Diceros bicornis minor: one gene and its partners. The protein of the gene in region 1 purifies or fractionates together with the protein of each later gene. This does not show direct contact. Links are inferred from orthologs where the notes say so. Each region holds a gene or a part of one and is shown in the gene's direction. Other genes may lie near its edges. The genes, in order: LYAR, GTPBP4 and GNL2.

Evidence for each region.
Region 2: the proteins of LYAR (region 1) and GTPBP4 purify together in Homo sapiens (co-immunoprecipitation; 3 studies listed by BioGRID and IntAct, with this or other methods). This does not show direct contact. The link is inferred for Diceros bicornis minor from reciprocal best matches to the Homo sapiens genes LYAR and GTPBP4.
Region 3: the proteins of LYAR (region 1) and GNL2 purify together in Homo sapiens (affinity purification with mass spectrometry; 3 studies listed by BioGRID and IntAct, with this or other methods). This does not show direct contact. The link is inferred for Diceros bicornis minor from reciprocal best matches to the Homo sapiens genes LYAR and GNL2.

The regions. Positions count from the first base shown.
Region 1 is NC_080747.1:7,201,096-7,208,686, forward strand, and holds the start of LYAR (cell growth-regulating nucleolar protein), read left to right. Parts: upstream 1-4,502; 5' UTR 4,503-4,609; intron 4,610-4,657; exon of another isoform or gene 4,658-5,127; intron 5,128-5,149; exon of another isoform or gene 5,150-5,171; intron 5,172-7,591. UniProt on the Homo sapiens protein: Plays a role in the maintenance of the appropriate processing of 47S/45S pre-rRNA to 32S/30S pre-rRNAs and their subsequent processing to produce 18S and 28S rRNAs. Also acts at the level of transcription regulation.
Region 2 is NC_080775.1:998,938-1,006,311, forward strand, and holds the start of GTPBP4 (GTP-binding protein 4), read left to right. Parts: upstream 1-4,344; 5' UTR 4,345-4,398; coding exon 4,399-4,446; intron 4,447-5,699; coding exon 5,700-5,870; intron 5,871-7,374. UniProt on the Homo sapiens protein: Involved in the biogenesis of the 60S ribosomal subunit. Acts as a TP53 repressor, preventing TP53 stabilization and cell cycle arrest.
Region 3 is NC_080752.1:51,627,546-51,635,623, reverse strand, and holds the start of GNL2 (nucleolar GTP-binding protein 2), read left to right. Parts: upstream 1-5,063; 5' UTR 5,064-5,178; coding exon 5,179-5,242; intron 5,243-6,932; coding exon 6,933-7,017; intron 7,018-7,989; coding exon 7,990-8,078. UniProt on the Homo sapiens protein: GTPase that associates with pre-60S ribosomal subunits in the nucleolus and is required for their nuclear export and maturation.

The DNA.
Region 1 (7,591 bases):
AAACTTTAGCTTTGACCACCAGTTCCAAATGTTCAACTTTCTGCTAAACATCTCCAACTGTAAGACCCCTCAACTTAGCATCTCCAACACTCCTCCCCCATCATCTCACTCCCAGCTGTATACTTATGGTTCCCCTATTTCTTTACGGAAAGCTTAGTTTTTGGTATGTTGAGTTTGGAGCATTGGCATGACCTCCTGCTTTGAAATCAGAGTGGTATTCAGAGAAAATGGAGACCAGAGATGATGTCATCTTTACAGAGCAACACTGAAACACTGGGAGTGGATAATATTAACCAACCCAAGAACACAGAAACGGAAGCATTATGTCAGGCGGTGGAGCACTGTCCCCAGTGTTGAGTCCTCAAAGGTACTGAACAACCAAACGATTGAGTAATCAGTTACCTACCCCTGCCCCATTGGTTGCCTGAAAAGAAAAGGCTTCCTGGTTTATTATTATTAGCTATCATTTACTGACTGCTTACTACAGGCTGGGCACTGTGTTAAGCACATTATACCCATTAACTCAAATAATGCTACAAGAACCCTATTACGACCATTTTACAAGTGAGGAAATTAAGAAATGGGGATTTTAGGTAACTTGCCCAAGACTGTAAAACTGTTTTGTTCCAAAGCCAAGATTTAAATCCTGGTTCCTAAACCCTGGAGTCTATGCTATCTTCCATGAGAAAAGGACATTAAAAAACACAACACAGAACCTTCCTCCATAGACTTAAGTGTTAAAATGCAGCAAATATTCTGAATCTACATTAGATATTTTCTAGCTATATACAAGTGATAAAGAGGAAAAATTCTTTGGAATGACTCTTAGAGTTATGATGATATGCAAAGTTATGAACCATTCCACAATTTACTTTGACCATAAAAATTTTAACTATTCTATATTATTTAATGTAATTCTCTAATTGCTTCATGACTTCAATCCTGTACTTCCTCAATAAGATTATAAAAAGCTCCAGAAAAAGAATCAGCATCTTATATTTCTTATGTGTCCTATGAATAACAACTATAAATAATAATGTATCCTGCACCTAATAACACATATTTATAAAATGTTTCCTATATGCTAGCCACTATTCTAAGTTCTTTATACATATTAACTCATTTAATTCTCAGGATAACTGTAAGATAGGTACTACTACTACTATCCTCATTTTATAGATGAGGACATGGAGGCACTTGGCAGATTAAAGATGAGAGCAACTTTTTTAACACTCCTCCTAAGGGCAGGATTTAGGTTTCTTCCCCTTGAACCTGAGCAGCTTCTGCCTTAATCAGTAGAACAGGCAAAAGCAAAGGTGTGAAGCTGTGCTCATCTCTGGGCCCAGGACCTAAGAGCTGACAGCTTCCACCTTCCACCTTTCAGAACACTGGCCCTGGAAGGCCTGAGTCAGCAGTCAGACTGTAAGATGCCCAAATGGAGAGCCACAGGGAGCAGGAGAAAGACTCAGCTGACCCCAGCCTTCCAGCCACCCCTTCCCAGGTACCAGATATAGAAGCAAAGCCCCAGTGAACTCTCCAGCCCAGCCCCCCTCAAGCTGAATACCACGTCCAGTCAACACCATGTGGAGCTGAAGAACTGCCCAGCAGAGCCCTGCCTGAATTCCTGACCCACAAAAATGTGAGATAAAATAAAATAGTTTTTAAGTCACTGTTTTGGGGTAGTTTGTTGCATAGCAATAGATAACCTGATCAGGTACAGAGAGGATGGTCACACAGCTAATAAGTAAGGGATAATCAATAAGGGGCAGAGTTTTGTTTTGTTTTTTTTTTGGTGAGGAAGATTGGCCCTGAGCTAAGATCTGTTGCCAACCTTCCTGTTTTTGCTTGAGGAATAATGGCCCTGAGCTAACATCTGTGCCAATCCCCCACTTCGCATGTGGGTTGCTGCCACAGCATGGCTTGATTAGTGGTATAGGTCTGCGCCCGGGATCCAAACCCTTGAACCTCGGCCGCTGAAGTGGAGCACACTGAACTTAACCAATACACCACCAGGCCAGCCCGAGTTGGGATTTAAACCCAGGAAATCTGACTCCAAAGCCCACAGCTTACCCACTACTTCAAGTTACATGTGACAGATCAAAGGCTTTCCTTGGATCAAATCAGTTGCTTCTTCAGTCTATTGCCTATGCCTGATTGTTCAGGTAACCCCACAGATAAGCACCTTACGGCACAGCACACTGAGGACTAATGCACGGCACACAGGTGGTCTGGTGTGATACAAGGAGCACAGGGCTCTCTTCCAACTTTGCAGCTAACTCACTTTGTGACAAGGAGCAAAAATCTTCGGTGGCAAGACATGTTCTACATCTGTGTTACTGGTCAGCTTATCTCTGGTACCTAGAAGAGTGCCCTGCACACAGCAGGTCCTCAACAAACAGTTTTTGGATGGATGGAGACCCTGGGGCTCAGTTTTCTCATCTATAAAAATGGAAACGTCCCCCACTGGGTTAGATACTCTCTAAGGTATCTTCCTGTTCTAAGTGCTACAAACCTATACCAGGAATGTGATGGTGGAAAGACAGACTGACTGGCATCAAAAAGAGTGGAAATATAGGAAAAGAGAACAAGAACAAACTTAGACAGATGTGAATGACAGGTGCTTCTAAAGGGAACAAGAGTCAGAACGGAATTTTAACCTACAGAGAGGGCTCCTAGAGCAATGGCCCTTCTGTTCTGCAGGGCAATTCCTCAACCGGTCAAACACCACAGGACAGAATCTGGGGAAGTTTGTTCAGCAGGCCATCAACAGATTAGTTCTCCAAGGGTCCGCAGTTCACACCCCTCAGCACCAAGCCTGCCTGAGAGTGGTCCTCCCTTCCTCTTTGGCCACCATGTTTTTCAGATGGCTTATTCCCACCCCACCCCAACCCCAACGACAAAAGCAGTGGCTTCCAGCAGACAAGCCTGGATCCTTGTCTTCCTCTATAATGATCTCCCACCCAGGCAGGCCAGTTCAGTTAAGCTGACACCGTGTCCTAATCTGCGGAGACATCCGGTGAGGACGGCATGCTGAAGAATTGAACCACACCCGTTCCCCGCCCTCCAGCGGCTGGTCTCGGTCTCCCCGTCACTCAGCGACTTCACAGAGCGCCCACTGTGTCATGTTCACCGAGGACGCGACGGTGAACGGCTCGATCCGGCCATCCACGCCTTCACGGGGCGTCAGTGTCGCAGGGGGAGCAAGGACAGCCCCGGCCCAGGGTACGCTGAACGGGGAGCAGCAACTCATCTGGGGAGGAGGGAGAGGGACAACTTCCCGGAGGAGGACACCTGCGCTGAGACCCGAACGTGAAGTCCGCCGAGGACGAGGACGAGGACGGGAGCTCGCCGCGCGTCTGCAGGGGATCAAACGGCACCGACGCGGAAGCGCCGGCAGGAACCGGGCGCGGCGCCCGGCCCACGAACCGCATCGCGAGCGCCCTGCGTTCCGACCCGGTGGCCGTGCTGTCCCCTCTCGGAAAACACGTCCCTCCCTGTCCACTGCGCTGACTTCTTCTGCCATGGGCTGGACTGTCCCCCAAATTCACACGCGAAGTGCTCAGGCCCAGCCCCCGGGCGTGCGGCTGCATCCGGAGAGGGGCCTCGCAAGAGGAGATGAGCTAACAGGAGGTCGCTGGCCCCACCTGGCTGCGTCCTTGTGAGGGCAGGAGGGACACACAGGGACCCCAGCGGCGTCCCGCACAGGGGAAGCCGGGCGGCGAGGACACGGCCGGCCCGGGGAGCGCCCCGAGCCCGGCCAGAGCGTGGGTGGGGATGGTGAGCGTCGTCAGCCCCGGCCTGCGGGACCCAGACACCCCGCCGCAGGCCCAACGCCGCCCGTGCCCGGGGACCGCCTCCCCGTCCCCGGGCGCGCGCGCGTCATGTCCCCCGCTGCCCCCGCCTCAGGACGCGCGGGGGCCGGCGTGAGGGGACGGTGCCGGGGCGGCCGAGGCACCCGGGCGCGGCGCGGCCGCGGCGGCGGCGGGGAACAGCACCCGGGCGGTCGGGGCGCCGAGCAGCCGGCCAGCTGCGCCGGGGGGCGTCCAGGCCGCGGGAGCCGCTCGAGGGGCAGGCCCCGCGCCCGGACGGGGACCGGGACCGCACCCGGTGTCTGAGCCGCGCCCGGCGCCCTCGCCGGTCACCTCACGCCGACCCCACCGCTCCCCGCCGGCCCTCGGCGGCCCTGCCCTGCCGGCCCCGGCGCTCGGCCGGGACTCCGGGCCGCTCCCACCGCGCCGCACCCGCCCGGCCTCGCGAGACCGGCCCCCCGGCCCGGCGGCCCCCTCACCCTCGGAGGCCGCTCCTCGCCCCGCCGCGACCTCTTCACCTGCCGTCCCCTCCCTCAGCGCCGCTCGCCGGCCTCCGCCGGCCGCGGAACCATCCCGGCAACGCCCCCACGGCCGGCCGGGCCCGCCCTCCGGCTTCCGGCGGCGTCACTTCCTCCTGGGGGGTGGGGTGTGGCCGCGGCGCGCAGGCGCGCGGGGAGGCTCCAAAGCGAATTCGGCGCCGGGAAGCTCGGGAGGGAGGTGGTGGCCGCGTGGGGCGGGAGGCGGCGATTCCACGTGCTCCCCGCGGCCGGTTGAAACCGTTGGCGGGCTGTGGCCGAGAGGTGAGGGGGTGGCCCAGAGATCCGACTCGGGAGGCCGGGCGGGAGGGAGGCCGCTGCCGCATTTCCATCGTTAGAGCCCCTGCTTCGGCTCGCACGCAGGGCAGGAGGAAATCCGCTCAGATCTTATGCGTGCCCTGGGGTGGAAAGAGGCCTGGATTCGGGGTGGCCAGTTCCTCCCGATCTTAAACGGAAAGGCCCTCGTGCCGGGAACCCCCCTGTCCTGGGCAAACCAGGGTGGTTGGTCGCGGCCGGCCTGGGCTTCAGGCTTGCTGTATGCTGGGGACAAGGCTCTTGTCTTCCCCGAGTCTTGGGGAGCTCGGTCCCCAAAGAGGAGGCCTTAGAGCATAGGGGTTGAGAGCACGGACTTAGGACCAGAATGACTGCGTGTGCATCCGGGTTTGCCACTACCTGGATGTGTGACCTGCTGCAAGTTACTTAAGCTCTTCGTGCCTCAGTTTCCTCGTCTGTCAAAGGGGAATAAGATAGAACCCAACTCAGAGGACTGTTGGGAGGATTAGGTGAGCACAAACGTCTTACCACCTACGACGCGGCTTGGCACGTGGTAGGTGCTCAATAAATGTCGGGATTTTCTGCAGCATCTGCCTCTGAGGAGACAGGGAGGGGAGCAAGGGGGAGCGTATTTGCAAGGCTGACTTCCTGCAGAGAGGGCCCACCTGGCACTTAGTCACACTGCACCCCCCGTCTCCAGCGCTCAGCGTGGTGCTGACAGGTGGTAGACTTCTACAGATGGTTTTTCCACCAGCAAAGGGATGCTGATAAAACAAGGCTGGTGATGGAGTCTGTGGGTGAGGTGGAGGGGTAGAGACGTGGCTTAACTTCTCCCAGCCTGTTTGCTCCTCTGTCAAGTGGAGATAGGTGTGCCTGTCTCCTAGGGCTTCTGCAGGGAGCAGGGGAGAGGTCCAGGGTGAATGCATATCGCGACTGTCATGGCCCCCACATTCAGGTGGTTAGGCAGGATGGGGGATAGTGTGTACTTGTGTGTCCTTCCCTTTCACCATACCCTTGGTTTCTTGGAATTTTACCCCCTGGAAGGGGCTCAGGGCTGGTCCAGTTGGCCCGACCCATTGTTTCACAGATGGGAAAACTTCAAGTTCAGAGGGGACAGTAACTTGCTCAGGGTAACAGTGCTCACTGGGGGCTGTTGCCAGCTTGGCCCCTCAGGTGAGCGGTGATGGGGTTTAGGTCTGTGTATGTGTGAGAGAGAATATTTTAAGAATAGTTAACGTAGTTTTTGTAAAAAAATAAACACCAAAATGTATAGGGAGGAAGGTAAAAAAATAACTCCAGATATAATCCCAGAAGCAAACCTGAGTTGATGTGATCAGGGAACAGGGCGGTGGCGTAGGCTCCCGTGGGCTGGAGATCCAGAGGAGACTGGAGTGAATTTATGAAGCTAGACAGTGGATTGAGGGTCATATTTAAAGAAGCATGAGTTTGGGAAGCGACTGGGTGCAATCGTATTGATGTGTAATTAATAGGTCACTGGAAATTCTTTCTACTATTGAGTAAGGATGAATCTTGCACATCTGGTATCTTTTTTAACTTTCCACTCAATGCTCCAAGATAGATGTTAGACCCAATTTACAGATAAAACAGATGCTGGAAAGTTAAGGTACCTCGAGGTCATTTAGTTTTGAATTGACAGATATGGGCTCCACCTCAGATCCTCTGGCCCTGTGTCCAGGCCCAGTTCAACAGAACCTGGCCACCATCTTGCTAAGAGGAGACTGAGGAGCCTGGATTCCTTCACAGGTTCCCAGTCCCTTACTGATGCTATCTGCTGCCCTCAGCTCGGCATCACTGTGCAACACCAGACATCCTCTGCTGAGACACGGTGGTCTCCTTGCCCGGTACAGGCCGGCCTTAGGATGAAGACTTAGGGTCCTAGTATTTCAAATGGAAGGTCATGAAATGCACGACATCTGAGCCTGGGAGACAAGGTGTCCTAAAAGTCTTACTGCAGCATGTTTTCAGCTTTTCTAACTTCCGAAGTATAAATGTTACAGATTTACTAAAAACATCGTTTGAAAGTTTATTTAAATTTCTTTGATATTTATTTAGTCTTGTGAAATCTGAATAAGTTTAATCTTCTGTTGTAGGCAATGCTTGCTATCATCAGTTGGAGGGACTGAATTTTCAGGTGGGATCTGTTTGTAAGTTTGTAGCATTACGCTTCTGACGTTGTTAAGCCTGCACTGACGCTGGGGACACCCCGTCTGCCATGCACTTAGGAGGATCCTGAGCTTGCGGTTCACGGCCCACCCCCGTAGACACACACGGCGGTGTTTCCTGCTTACATGAAAGGTGTTTCCTCGGGGGAGGTCAGGTGTGAAGTGTAATCAAGGTGACTCTTGGCTGGTGGTGGCATGTCCTCTGGGCTCTGAATAAGGAGGGATAAGCTCCTTACAGACCGTATCTCACTAGCAAGCAGGCGGTCACACTGTCCCCGTTTCAGATCAAGTGTAAAAATGCAGCGATGGCTCTGAAAGTCCAGAGGAAGGCACCAAGAGACTGAGTTCTGATTTACTGTGCAAGCCACCCATTCTGCCTTTAAAAAAACTTAACAAATTTCTAAATGTGAACATTCGCCACAAAAGACCAAATGAAAATGGTTGGAGAGGTATTTCTCCAATGGACATGTGACCACATTCTAATCCTCTCTTGAGGTGATGTTTACACTGTGTGTGGTTAATCCCCAGAGGGATGACACGTTTTGCACAGATACTCCGAGCATCTTTTTTGTCAACATCACTGGCTTCTTTCTGCTGATAAATTTTGTTTTCAGCTGTCCTTCTCAGGCCTTTAATTCCTGACCTTTCATGACAGACTGAGTCTCCCCACTGGATCTCAAGCTTGCCGAAACCTTCCTCCCCTCCGCCCGCCCCCTGGATCCAGAAACAGAATAGACCTCCACAGTGAAGGTCGGAAAGCTCTAGGCCATAGCTTAAGTTTGAGGGGGTA
Region 2 (7,374 bases), on another chromosome or scaffold:
TCTTTGTCTCTCATCACTCCAGGGGACAGGAGTCTAAGTACCCAGGGCCTGAGGCATCTGCCCTGGCTGTCATTAAGCTAGAGGTCCAGTGCAGCTTTCTTCCCTGTGGTACAGCAGGAGTTGTGAAATGAGTGGGACTACCTGAGTAGGACAGAAGCCCGATTTCAAATGTCACAGCCCTGACTGCACCAGGAATTTACTTAGGCCAGCGTTCAATCAGTCGAGTTCCACAATCATCCCTGAATGCTCAGGGCCATGCTGCTTGCTGTGAGGAATGGGAAAAGGACGAGACACAGTCCCTGCCCTTGAAGAGGCTGTTTCTCTGGGAAATGGGACGGACCCAGGGGAACATCTAGGAAACAGCCCAAAGCAGCCAGTCATTCCTGCTAAATGAGTTGACCAGAACACAGCTTCGGTGGGCACCCAAGGAAGTGACCGACAGATGCACTGGAGTGGTCCTAACACCTTCGAATACCAGACAGCTACCTGTGGCTAAGTGACTAATCCCCACACAAAGGCTCCTTCTAGGCAAGAAGTTGGTCACATTTCCCTGGCACAGATTCTGCTGCATGATGTACTTTTCATTAATCAGAATTATAGCAACAGGAGAGTAAAACAGAGACCAATTCCACAACATAAAGAGGTCTGAAGAATAAGCCTTTTGGCTGTGAAGTGCTCTGACAGTCAGAAGTCACCAGAGAGCACTGCAGCACACCCTCGAGAATGTCCTGCACCATAGCCGAGGCTCACCTTCCTGTCACAAGGCTCACACTCTGACGAGTCCTGGTACCTGGACACCTGACAACATGGTCAAAATCAGCTCAAGAACCGGTGACTTGCCTTCTGCTGCAGGGGCTTTTCCAACTCTCCTCAAAAAGGGCCCCCAACAGCCTGGTTCCTCCAGAGTCCAGCAGCACATTCACAAACGAGTGGCTTCCTCTTGGTGGTCTGGGACACACACCTGCCCCCAGAAAGCTGCACTCAGCCAGGGAGCGCAAGTGGAAGAGGGAAGAATGTTGCTTCTCATCAACACGCAGGTGGCGGGGGATGCTTGGTACCTCATCATGAGTGTATAGCTCTGGGCTCGCGATGAGTCATGATGCTTATGCATTCACAGACATGCCTCGTGGCTGAGCAACTGAAAGCAGATAGCTCCCTGGAGTGGTCTTGTTTTCCCAGACCCCTTTTCCAATTTCACACCCTTAGATACACAATGAGGAGGGTGTTATATATCTCTTCTTTTCATGGGCTGATTCTTGTCGCTTGAAAAGCTAACAGATAAGTCAGGTTCTGCACAACCATGCTCTCTAAGGGATGATTTTACTGCCACACTTGGGAACTGAGAATTCCTGATAAGAAATTTGGCATTTAATACACTTTATGGCAATGCTCAGATCATTACCGTGTACTGACGCGATAACGTTTTCAAATAAAATTTTATTATTGATAGTCATTACATTAATACCTCTTACTGTATGCCTTATGCTTTTGCATAATTAGCCACCATAAACGATCCTCTGAAGGTAGGCATTATTTCCCCCATTTTGTACAGGAGCAAGCAGGGCTAGGGGGTGAGTCACTTGCTGCAGCTCACGTGCCGTGCCTTGTGAGGTGCAGAGCTGGAATGTGAACCCCGGCCTTTGACTCTTCACCAGGGCAAGCATTTATTAAGTGTTTTATGCAAATATGATTTCAAATTCTTGGGAGAATAGTAAAAATACCAAAGACGTGTCAGTTTTTCATTGATAGGATTTATAAAATCCTCTCACATTTATTCTCTAATATACTTTCTCTTTGTCAAGGGTTCTCTTTTTGGTTTTTTTAAATGAACGATTTCTCTTCTGCTCTGTATGAACAAGTAGATTTCAACTGTTCTGCATAAAATCAAGAAAATAGCATATGTTGATATTTTATGTTATTAGCATTTAAAAAAAATTCTGTCCCCTCCACAAACTATTTATATAAATAATTGTATTTATGGGATGGCTGAAAAGACCTGGTCCTCAGCTTGGTCTACTCCCATTTGCCATGTAGCGCTGTGTGACCTTGGAGAGAAGCAAGCCTCTAATCTTAGTTTAGCATCACATCAGAAAGTTGTTGGGAGGCCTGGCCCGGTGGTGCAGCGGTTAAGTTCGCACGTTCCACTTCAGCAGCCCGGGGTTCACTGGTTCGGATCCTGGGTGCAGACCTACTCACTGCTCATCGAGCCATGCTAAGGCAGCGTCCCACACAGAAGAACTAGAAAGACCTACAATTAGGATATACACCTATGTACTGTGGGCTTTGGGGAGAAAAAAGAAAAAAAAAGAGGAAGATTGGCAACAGATGTTAACTCAGGGCCAATCTTCCTCAAAAAAAAAGAAAGTTATTGGGAATATTATTGAGATACTAAAAAGTAAAGCACTTTGTAAATGTTAAAGTCCTATACAAATGTAAGAAATCGTTCAATTATTGCCTAGAGCTAAGAGCTAGAGAAAGAATAGTTGCCTGCCTGAAGCCAAGGATTGACTGGACTCATCTAAATACTGGATTGAAAGAAAAAGGAGGAGGACCTGGCCATATAAGAGGGAGGGGTGTGGGTGGGGTTGAAGGAGTGCACAGGTAGCTGAGGAAGAGTGATGACCATGAGCATAGCTTTGCAAATCTCCAGAACCGTGCACAGAGCTGTCCTGTGGTTTGGCAAACGATTGTAGCCAAGGAATGCTAATGATCCCAGAGGCTTCCTTTAGGAATGCTACATAGACATAGGAGGGATGCTTATTAACTTGCTGATGACACAAAAATGGGCAGTATAGTTAATCATAGATGAGAGAATCATGATTCAAGATTATTTTTGATATTGGAATGTTGGGAATTTGAGACATTTTCATGTAAGAATGATAGGACTTGTTAAAAGGAGTTGAGGGTGCATGCAAGATCACTGAGAAGCAGAAATAGCTAACAGTTAAGAGCAGAGACGCTGGGCAGGCCACCTAGGCTCAAACTCCAACTCGGCCACCTATTAGCTGTGTGACCATGGGCTGGTTACCAGCCCTGCTGTGCCTAGGCTTCCCCACCACTTCCTAGGGTCGTTGTAGGAATTAAATGAGTTAGTATTTGGTCAACTGCTTTGACCAGTGCTTGACTCTGCGCAGCAGGTCAGCCCTGCTCGTGGCTCCCTGCTGTTCTGGAGTCTCAGTGGCGGCCAGGGCCGCTGCCCTCTCCCACAGCACTCACACAGTGAGGAGGGTTTTTGCTTTTCAGAAATGCTGCATCTGACACATCTGACATCATGCTGGTGGGTATTTCAGAACTGACTGGAAATGTCAGGCTGGAATGGAGAGAGAAGTCAAGCTGGAAATGTGTATTTCATCAGAGTCATCCATGCAAGGCAACCAGCGAAGCTACCACAAAGAGAGAAGGACCCCGGAAAGGCTGAGCAAAATCTCCATAGAAAGTCTGGAGAGGTGGAGGGCACAGAGGAGGAGTAGCTCCAGTCAGGACGAGACAGTAGGAAGGTGAGTGAGCCAAGAACAGGGGATCCGACATATTAAGACCAGAGCCAGAACACCACCTCACGGGAGGGTTTGAAGGCGATGGGAACAAGGGAGAGCGACGACTGCGAAAACGCCAGAAGGTGTAAGGACTCGGTCCCAGGAAGGCTGACGGTTCAGACTGGGCGGGGAGCGGACGCCCCGATGTAGGGATCCGAAGACACAGCGCGGTGACTTTCGGGCGGCACTGGACAGGCCAGCGGGCTCTGCAGGGCCTGGCCTCACCCTGCGGCCGTCAAGCCTTGCCGGGCCGGTGGAGACGCAGTCCGGGGTCGGGGTCAGGGCCGGGCCGGTGGAGACGCAGTCCGGGGTCGGGGTCAGGGCCGGGCCGGTGGAGACGCAGTCCGGGGTCGGAGTCGGGGTCGGGGCCCGGCCGGTGGAGACGTGTCCCGCCGCGCTCCGCACTTGACCAAACTTGACCGCGTTAGCAGGTCAAGAGGCGGCGCGCGCGCTCCCGCACTTCCGCCCTTGCTTTACCCCGGGGCCGCGCGCGCCCCCGCCGGCCACGGCTCCCGGGCCCCTAAGACTCTGCGGGCCCCGAGACTGGAGGTCCCCGAGCTCCCCGAGCTTCCGTAACCCGCCGGGCCGGGCAGGGCGGGCAGCACAGGCCCCCAGGACGGCCCGCCGGGACCCCACCTATACCCGCACGGAGTGCCCGTCCGCGCCGCCCCTCCGCGTCCTCCCCACGCCCCGCGGGCCCCCAACCCACCCCGCCCAGACACCGCCCCGGGGGACCTCCGGGCCGGGCGGGGGCGCCGTGCGACGCGGAAGCCGTGCGCGGCGGCGCCGGGGCCGCCCGGAAGTGACGCGTATCCGGCGGAAGTCCGCCCGCCTGCTCCGCCGCTCCTCGTGTCTGACCGCCGGCATGGCGCACTACAACTTCAAAAAGATCACCGTGGTGCCGTCCGCCAAGGTAGGGGCTGAGGCGCCTTCCGCCCGAACCACCCTCGGCCGGTCGCGGGAGGGCCGGGCCTGTGATGCTGGGCTGGGAGAGGGGTCGCCGCCTCGCCAGCCCCGCCTCCCGGGCCGCGTCCCCCGGGGTTAGGGGTCCCCCCGGAGAGTGGGGGCTCCTTCCTCAGAGGCTAGGGCCCCCGGGATTAGAGTTCTTCCTCAGGTTTAGGTTCTTTCTCAGAGGATTGGGGCGTCCCCGTAGGAGAGGGGGTCCTTCTTCAGAAGTTGGCGCCCCCGTGGATGAGGGGTCTTTCCTCAGAGGTTAGGGTCCTTCCTCAGTGGTTAGGGTCCTTTCTCAGAGGTTAGGGTCCTTCCTCAGAGGTTAGGGTCCTTCCTCAGTGGTTAGGGTCCTTCCTCAGTGGTTAGGGTCCTTTCTCAGAGGTTAGGGTCCTTCCTCAGTGGTTAGGGTCCTTCCTCAGAGGTTAGGGTCCTTCCTCAGAGGTTAGGGTCCTTCCTCAGAGGTTAGGGTCCCCCGGGATGAGGGGTCCTTCCTCAGAGGTTAGGGTCCTTCTTCAGAGGTTAGGGCTCTGGGGGGTTAGGGGTCCTTCCTCCCGGGTTCGGTCACTCCTGAGGGAAGAGGGCGAGTCAGGGGAAGCTTGATGAAGTGGGTGACTTTTGAACTGAAGCCTTGAGGGTCCGTGGAGTCTGCCAGCTGGAGAGGGTGTGGAGATCTCGGGGCGTGATGTCTGTGCCCCTCCTAGTGCTGACAGTGTTGTAGGCGCTGTCTGCCAGTTTCTCTTGGCGCTGGGGAATTCACACAGAGATCCTGTACATCCTCAGACAGTCAGCTTACATATCTTAGAAGATTATAAGCAGTGGGTTTTAATTTTACCAATTATTTTGTATGCTTTGAAAGTCAAGGATATGCATATCAAAATTGTAGGATTGTTTCTTTTTTAATATTTCTTCTGATTTATGCTTGAGTTATCTGACTACTTAAGTTTCAAAGGTTCTTAGGTATTTAGAAAATAAGATAACATGAAGAACATATGGGATAAAATTTATTTCAGCAGCTATTTGCTAAATGTTTTTTAAAGTCCAGACAGTGTAAAAGATGAACAAAGTTGTATATAGAAGACTAAAGATTTAGTTAACAAAAGTGTTTGTAGTTTAAAATGTGTAGTAGTGTTAGATATTAGTCTTTTAAGATTTCAAGTAAGTGCATGGAAAGTAGATGTGTTTGATGTAACTGTGTCTTATTTTATTTGATCGCAGGACTTTATTGACCTGACATTGTCGAAGACTCAACGAAAGACTCCAACAGTTATTCATAAACATTACCAAATTCATCGCATTAGACATTTTTACATGAGAAAAGTCAAGTTTACTCAACAGAATTACCATGACAGACTCTCACAGATTCTAACGGATTTCCCCAAATTGGATGTAAGTGACTCCAAGGGATACAAATAGTTATGTAAATGTGAGCCTTCAGAAAATCGATGTTTAACCAGTTTGGTCTACTTATCTGACAGATAATGAAGGAAACAGAAAATAATTGACTTGTCAGAGTTTACTCAGTGAGTTAGTGGCAAAGCTGGGAACAGAACACGGGTTTTTTGATTCCTTAGTATTCTTCCTTTCCCCCAACTAAACCCCATCTAAGAGGGCCCAAAGCTATCTCCTCAAGCTTTCTTTGCAACCTCTAGGCTTGCGGGGCCAACCCAAGCTCTTTAGCTGAGGACTGTGAATCCAGGAGCCTGGGGTTCTGGTGGCTCACCAGCTCGTCTGGGCTTCCTCTCCTCCCTCTTTTCCAAGGCTCCTTTTCTTGTGGGCTCACATTGGATCAGTGGCCTGAGGTCCATACTGTTTGTGATCTTGTTGCTTTATCAGCCGTCGACAGTCAGTTCAGTACCAACCACTTTCTTCACTGCCAAGAAGAAATCAAGTGGGGAGCTGTGACTTATACATCAAGCTGAACAAGTTGAATTCCTCACTCTGCTGCATAGTGCAGTTTGCCCATTTATTGAGCTATGGAGGGCAGGAGCAGACACTGCTTATGAAGTCCCTGTGAGGGGTCACACAGTTGCAAGGTTCTTTGAGGTGGTGAAGGACATGGGGTCAGCAGTACAGTGTGAGAGCCTAAATTTGCCACTGCCCGGAAATAGTCCCTGAAGGTGGGTTAAGGCAGAGAGAAAAAGTTGGTTTATGTGACAAGAATTTCTTTTATATTTAAAAAGGTAATAATGGCTATTTAAAAAAATACAATAATAAGTCAGTTCTGCTAGCAGACAGGCACTTATCTTATGTATTTCTCTAGGACTTGACACAAGTGCTTGATAGCTGCTTATTGGATGAGTGAATAATTTTTTGGGAAAGGGCTAGTACCATAGAAAGTACCTGGGAATGAAAAAAGACGGAAGAATGAGGCTATTCTAAACTGATTTGGTATTAGGAAGCACCTGATTTGAGCAAACAGAAAATATCGTGACCTAATTAGTACCATATTTTTGTGGTTCTTTGTAAGAAATTTTACATTTTTCATTCTTGGTGTTTTTTTTTTTTATGTTAGAGGTTCAACTTTATAAACATTCTGTTTATTTATTTATTTTCAATTAGAGTTAGTTATATGAGGATCACTTTAGGGTAGAAGGTTAGGGTAAGTTACCATTCATTGAATGATTGTTGTGTCTCAGATACTGTTTTAGGCACTAGGAATACAGCAGTAATAAAAAAAAAAAAGGTTTCTATCCTTGTCTAGTAAACATGACATTATATAGTGTGTCAGATAAGAAAGGAGAATAGGGAGTGCCTGAGCAGGGCGATTGTAGCAGAGACCTGAAGGAACTGAGGTGGTGAGCCATGCAGTTATCTGGGGAAAGAGCACTGTAGGCACGAAAATAGCAAGTGCAGAGGCACTAAAGTCTAGAGTGTGAGGTCTCTGAGGAGC
Region 3 (8,078 bases), on another chromosome or scaffold:
GGGCAGAAGCTGCCCCTAGGGCAAGACTGACCTTCCAACAGACAGAGGTCCCCCTGACACATGGGTTTCAGGAGTTGACTCGGTTTAGATTTTTTAACGTGACATTATTCTTCTGGAAGCAATCCAATGGACCTAGTTAACATTTTTAAAAAGTGTTTTCCTGAGGAAAATGGGGGAGGTGGGCAGGAGATGAGGGGTAAAGAATTACACAAAGATTTAGTCTAAGGGCTTAAAAATCAAAAGGATCATTGGACAGATAGATATCAAGTGTAATAGGAAACACACTGATCCTGGGGAGATGACTTAATATGGGCCCTCCAGCCTTCTTGGAGCTTAAACAATTATCTACGATTTGGAGTTACACTTCAAATTCCCACATCGGTGTGTGTTCTGGATCCATTTCTCAGGATGCAGCCAGCAATCTTGAGTTATCTAAACCAGGCTGAAAATTAGAGGCCGTTAACAGCATCTCATAAAATTGCTTCTCAGATTTTCTTAAGCAGAATTTGCTGAGGACCACAGGGATTCAGTAATAGGAAGGAGCAAAATGCTGCTAGTTATTTTTCCAAAGCTTAATCTAGGGATCTTTTTGAAGAGCTCCTTACCCAGCAATGAGATGAATGCCAAGACCAATACAGACTATGTTTTTCCCACTTAGAAGTGGTGACCAGATACATTATCCATGAAGAAGTTTCTTGGGGTTCCCAGATGTGAGTCTCTTAGCCACTTTTCATAGCTACCCAGCCTACTATCTTGCTATATCCTTGTCCAAAAAATTCCCAGGCATCCTAGACTGAAAACTAGACTGAGGGCAATTTGGCCAATGAAGCTCCAATTTAATACATCTTATTTTCTTATATTCCCCTGTAAACTTTTGAGGTTGTATGACCAAGGACTCTCTCTTTTTGTTTTCTACAAACAAAATTAAAAAACAAAACCCTGAAAACATATTCTGAGTACTTCTCTGTTCTCCTAGGATCCCAGAGCCTCTGCTTGGGGGCTAGTAACTGTTTCACATTGAGCAACAGCCACTCCAGGGGCCCAACTCTTGGCCCCAGCAGGCAGGGGTCAATGCATTGTGAATTTGCCAGAGGATAGACACAGGAGACTGAATAGAGAAGCCTCTGCTCTCTCAGTTCAACAGGGAAGGATAAATCAACAAGCTGGCACTAATTAAGAGCTAATGGCCTTACAATGGAGTGTTGCCAAAGGATAACGACCCTCCGGCTGCAGCATAAATATCAAGGCATTTGGGGTAGAGCCAAGACATATATTTTCAGAGTGCATAAGACGCTGCTGCAGCCTTCCTCACCCTGGCTCTGCTGAGAAAAAAGAGAGGATTTAAGACAGGTGGAGAAGGAGCTAGGTCTTATTAGGGCTGCCTTCTGGTCAGCTGGTCAGAAAGCCTGAGGATGACTTTTGGGAAAGACTTTGCTTTTCAGAAGATCTCAAACTTTTGTGTATACAAGAATCACTTGAGGAGCCGGTTAGAATGTATATTCTTTGGGCCCCACCTCCGGAAGGTCTGATTTAGGTAACTCTGGGGTGAAGCCCAAGAGCCTGCATTTTTAACCAATTCCCCCAACTGATTCTGATGCTGGGGGTCCTCAGAGCACACTTTGAAAACTGCTACTTTAGAAGCTGCTTCTACTTGCCCATTAGATCCCAATGAAGAAGTTTTTACAGAATGAAGCGAAGTCAAGATTCTCTTCTCCCTGTGAAAACACCAGTCCATTCTTTCCTTTTAGAACTTGGCACAAGGCTGTTTCAGAAAGGTGGCATTTTGAAGCCGACCCGGTGGCATAGCGGTTAAGTTCACACGTTCTGCTTCGGCGGCCTGGGGTTTGCCAGTTCGGATCCTGTGCGCAGACCTACTCACCGCTCCTCAAGCCATGCTGAGGCGGCGTCCCACATAGAAGAGCTACAACTCTTCAACTATGATACACAACTATGTACTGGGGCTTTGGGCAGAAAAAAGAAAAAGAGAAAGATTGGCAACAGATGTTAGCGTAGGGCCAATCTTCCTCAAAAAAAAGAAAGAAAGAAACGTGGCATTTCGAGCCAATTCCTGTTGGGGTCTTCCCATTCACACAAACCTGTGGTTACGAGGAGCAAGGTTCCAGGGAATGAGGAGCTAACCATAAGTCTGGAGGAAAACAGAAAGCATCCCATCTACATGGGGTGTACCATTTCTGCTATGCTTTCTTACAGCATAATTCATATGATCACGCTGCAATCTTTCAGCGTAGTTAAATTAATATATCTCTTCTAAAGCTGAGGAATCATAGGCCTGGAGGTGTGTCTTGCTTCCTCTGGTCACCACATCAGGAAGGAGAGTGAAAAATCTATTACAGGGCTGGCCCCGTGGCTTAGTGGTTAAGTGCGCGCGCTCCGCTGCTGGTGGCCCGGGTTTGGATCCCGGGCGCGCACACATGCACCGCTTCTCCGGCCATGCTGAGGCCACGTCCCACATGCAGCAACTGGAAGGATGTGCAGCTGTGACACACAACTATCTACTGGGGCTTTGGGGGAAATAGATAAATTTTAAAAAAAATTTTAAAAAAAACCTATTACAATTATGGTCAGCAGGGCAAGCAAACCAAATCAGTAACTTGAGTTTGACCTACCTTGATCAGGCTTATTATCAGCTGGTAGAACTGAGGTTGGTTGTCGGGATCAGCCATACTGTTGTAAAAGGATTGATGGGATTGATGGCTCAGATTATAAAAATAGACGGAAAGTTCATATGATAAACGCAAGCTGAGTATGAGAACAGGAGAGAAACAACGCACCATATCATCTGGGAAAATGAAACTCCTTGGCAAGACTTCACAACAGCCTGATTCAAAATTTCATAATGAAATTATGTCTCTGATCAAAGCCTGAATGAGCTCATGGGCTGATTTTTGCCATTCGTGTTTATTCTGGTTTGAACCAAACTGAGGCATCAGAAACACATTATCTTAGTTTTTTCTCCGGGAGTGGGCCATTGCATCCTCCTTTGGGGGACCAAAGGGACAGTGTGAGGCAGAAGGGGGCATCTTTGGATCCTCAGTGGGCATGAAGTTGTTTCTGACCAGCTTTCAGAGACTCCCTCAGACACCGTGTTAGGTTCAGAGCCTTTCTAGCAAAATCGTGTTAAATTTCACGATACTTGCCCTTGGGGCAATAAAAGTCAATCTCAAGGGAGAGAAGGTATTTCCCCCTGTTGTCTAGGACATGGCCTGCTTTTGCTCTAGAAAGAATGTTTTTCGGTTTGTTTGTTTCAGACTCAGAAAAATAAAGACTCAGTCATCCCCCCACAATTAGAGTTCCTCACTTTATACTAAGTTGTTTGTTTTTACGGAATGGGCTACACCACAGGCTGGAATCCACCTTCTTCCTGCCTAACCACCTCTTCTCTGGACTTAGGCACAGTGATGGGCATTTCCTGACAACTTGAGGTGCCAAAAAAACAGAGAGGGCTTCTTGGTTGAAACACTGGCATCTAGAGAGTTTATTTTGACTAACAGAAACAGAAATTTCTGGGTCTTACACCCTTGTTTCCCCCTCAAGGCAAGAAGCATTCCCATCTGCTATTGATTACATGTTTGTGTTCCCCTAAAATTCATATGTTGAAGCTTTACTCCCAATGTGATAATATTTGGAGATGGGGCCTTTGAGAGGTAATGAGGTTTACATGAGGTCATGAGGGTGGGGCCCCCAGCATGGGATTAGTGACTTTATAAGAAGAGGAAGAGACCAGAGTCCTCCTTCCTCTCTCTGACATATGAGGACACAGTGAGAAGACGGCTGTCTGCAAGGCAAGAAGAGAGTTCTCACGAGGAACCCAACTGTGTGGGCACCCTGACCTCGGACTTCCCAGCCTCCAGAACTGTGAGAAATAAATCTTTGTTATTTAAGCCACCCAGTCTACGGTATTTTGTTATAGCAGGCAGAGCTGAGACACCATCTATTCATCATTCATTCAATGAATATTTATTGAGTCCTTACTATCTATGTGTCAAGTGCTGTTCTAAGTCTTGAAGATACAGCAGTGAACAAACTTACAAGGTCCCTGCTCTCAAAAAGCTTATATTCCAGTTTTGGGGAAGCAGCTGATGAACTCGTAAATAACAAATTTCAGCTAGTGATAAATGCCATGAAGTAAATAAAACAGAATAATGTAACAGCATAACTGCAGAAGGATGGGAGATGGCTGATTTAGACAGATTAGACAAGAAAGACTTCTCCCAGTAGGCAGAGTTGCCAGATAAAATATAGGATGCCCAGTTAAATTTCAATTTCAGATAAACAATGAATAATTTTTAGTATAACTATGTCCCAAGCAACATTTGGGACATACTTATACTCAAAAAAATTTCATTGTTTATCTGAAATTCAAATTTACCTGGGAGTCCTGTATTTTTGCTAAATCTTGCAACCCTACCAGTAGGTGACATCTGAACTGAGAACTGAACCACCAGAAGGAAGTAGCTATGCCAAGAATCAGGGAAAGAGTGATTCAGGCAGAGGGAACATCCAGTGTAAATCTCGGAATAACCAGAGGGAGGGAGGTACAAATGAAGTCAGATAAATAGCACGGGCCAGATCATGCAGAATTCTGTAGGGATGGCAAGGAGTTTGAGTTTCTTTCTCTCTGTCTCTGTCTCTCTTTTACTCTGAGTGATGATAAATTATTGGAGTTTTAATAAGGGTGCCAAGATCTGATTGATTTGGCTGCTGTGTGGTCAGCCACTTTTGGAAAGACTTAGAGGATAAATTCATTAGATAATTAAACTTAAGCTTGTGCCATTGGCCTGGGAAGAGGTTTCTGTGTTTGGGGCGGACCGAAGTAGGAGCTCTGTGCCGAGCGTCCAGGGTGACTAGGCGGTTGCTATGGAGGGGCAGCGTGGCGGTTGCTAGGGAGAGAGGAGGGCGGGGGCTCGACGCAGGGCGACGTCTAAGCGGCCGGGGCGGGGGCGGAGCCAGGAGTGCGGCGGCGCGCGGCGCGCGTTCGCAGGAAGTCGCGCGGGGGCAGGAGGGGGCGCGAGCGGAAGTGACGTAGCACTTGCACACGTGGTCCAGCGTGCTTCACGCCGGTCGCTGTGGCTGGGCCTGGGGCGTTACGAGGTTTTTTTACCTTTTTTACCGTACGTAGGTCGGACCTAGCACTCGGGTCCCCGTCGCGGCGGCAAGATGGTGAAGCCCAAGTACAAAGGACGGAGCACCATCAACCCGTCGAAGGCCAGCACAAACCCCGGTACAGGCGGCGGGGCTCGCGGAGGGTGGAGCTTGGAGGAAGCTTGCGGGGAGGGCTCCGAGGAGACCGAGGGGGAGGAGGGACACCCGGGTGGCATGGCTTGGAGTGACCTCAAGCAGAGTGGCTGTTGGGGATGGGAAGGGAGAAGATGGTTTCTTCATTCGGAGGCACTGAGGAGGGCCGACATCTTGCACGCCTGTCAGGGCTGGGTGCCAGGCACCGAGTCTGAAGTCGGAGAGAGGGAACGCTCAGGCCTGGCAGCCTTGGGGCGTCTCCACTTGTGAGATGCAGAGACTGGGAAGCTCTGAGTTGGAAGGGGCAGTTAAACTTGACCTCTTCTTTTGTTCCTGTGTGGGTCGTGTTGAAGCCCCTCCCCCAATATATGTCAGTCTCGTATGATTCCAGCTCTCCAGCTCAAGGCTTGCTAGAAGTGAATTAGATCAAGTTGGATTAAAAGTGGTGTAGGCCGACGCAGCTGGCTTTTTACACTTGACCACACTTGCTGCCACCTTAGCTTTGACAATTTAAGTGAGAAAGGGATTGTTAATTTGGCTCTTGGAGTCATCCCATCGGGTCAAGTGTGTGGAAAACCCTACAGATAAATAAATAAGATCATTTCACTGAAGATGTTTTTGGAGATGTTTATGAGTTTTGTTGAGGTTCCACCTACAGGTTGAACAAGGTGGCCTTTGGGGGAGTCCCTTCCATTTGGGTTTAGTTAATAAAATTTTGTTTTTAAATATGGTTTCAATTTTTTATGGCTTTAATTCATGTTGAGTGTTTTCCCTGGATTGCTGATAAATTACTCAATTTGTGTAGACTGGAATCTTAGAATGTTAGACCCGAAAAGGTCCTTAGAGATCTTGATGTCAAAGGTGAAGAGACTAAGCCAAAATAGGGGAAGTGGCTTGTCACAGTTGGCATGGTTAGTCAGTAATAGAGCCATCAGTCCGGTGATCGCAGCCTCTTTTCTATGACATCACTGTAAGAGTAGACAGGTGGTTTGAAGGGATCCCCACATGAGGCTGGTTTTACGACACTTGTCCTTCTCTTTCTCTCTGAGATGTAAGACAAGAATTACTACCTATTTTGCTGTTGATTAAACTAAAATCAAACATTCGGAAATTAAGAAACTAGTACATTAGAAACACTTAGGTATCAAGATTGTAGTCTCCAGGGTGCCTTGCATGTAGCAGGCACTCAAAATTTGTTAAAGTGAGATCCAGAGGTGGATGTCTTTGTGGTTCAGAGCACAGGTGGTGATCAAATGCTGTTGTTCACATTCTGGCTTGCCATTTGTGACTTTGGGCAAGATGTCTGGCCACTATGCCTCAGTTTCTTAGCCTGCAGAATGGGGATAATGTATCCCTCTTTATAGGATTATTGTATGGATTACATGGGATGAGACCTATAATGTGGATAGCACAGTGCTGTAGTTAGTGCTCAAAAATATTAGCTCTTATCATTATCAAACACAGTCTTATTGAGGATCAAAGGTTAGATCAGCTTTGTCATACCATGTAGCTTCCAGTAATAATTTTTTTGGAGCAACATATGGAGGAAGTAGAGATTTTGCAGTGAGGTGGCGGCTTGCTTACTTTGAGTGAACTAGTTGGTGTGTTTGAAGCAACGACCGTACTTAGACTTGTTGGTTATCAAATGGTGTGCAATCTACTTCTGGGTTCCCTAGATCGAGTACAGGGAGCAGGAGGCCAAAACATGAGGGACCGGGCCACCATCCGGCGCCTGAATATGTACAGGCAGAAGGAGCGCAGGTGAGTACTGGGTGCTGGCATCCTCCCCCCTCTGCTTCAAGCCCTTGACTGAATAGCTGAGGCCTATTAAACCTATGATATTCCCACTCCCACTTTCCCCAAATACGAGTAGTGTATTTTCAAGTATCATTTTATATGGGTGTTATTATGATAAATTGTGAATTCTTGGTTAAAGACATGAGTAGTGGGTGGAGAAATTGTGATTGTGTCACAATACAGCAATTAGAGGTCTTGTTCCTTACAGCCTCAGCCTCCACGAATGGCATATTAAATCTCAAGTTAGGTATCCGTCAGATGGAAATCTGGTTTTCTTTAGTGAAGCATATAGGACTGTAGTCATGAAAGCAGCGAGAGAACTTGTTTTTTAATGCCAGACTTTAGATCACAACATTGTGGCACTTGGAAACTCACCACCAATCTGCGTTCTGCTGAGGCAGCCTCTACCACGGGGACTTGCTGAGTGTGGCATTTTTCTAGCTGGTCTTAATTTGTTTGGTAATTAGATTCTCCATCCGTTCTAAAAGATGTGTCTAAAACACAAATGTCAATGAACTTAATCTGCCTTAGTCACCTGCTCTGCAGTTTGTTTCAGAATTTTGAGTTCCAGCACAAATCACCCTCTACTTAAAATTCATTTAAACCAGCCTTCAAATAATTACCCAAAAAACTCACGTATGTGATTTTTTTTTAAAGCTAACAAACAGTAAACAGATTTTTAAACATCAGCTTTATTTGTTATTCATCCAGCAGAAATCGTTACGTGCTCTGTTGCAAGAGGTTAAATGGCTTTTGGGCAATCTGTTTCAAATGTAGAAGTACTTTTTGTTTACTGAAATCTGTATTTCATGATCCTTTAAAACCAAAAAAAGGAAAAAAAAATCCTTTTGATGGAAAGGGTATTCTGTAAACCAGACTTTGCTGTTGTTGCCTTTCTTCTGTCGTCAACCAAAATCTGTCATTTCCTCCATTTAGGAACAGTCGTGGTAAAGTGATTAAGCCTCTGCAATATCAATCAACAGTGGCTTCTGGCACAGTGGCGAGAGTGGAGCCAAACATTAAAT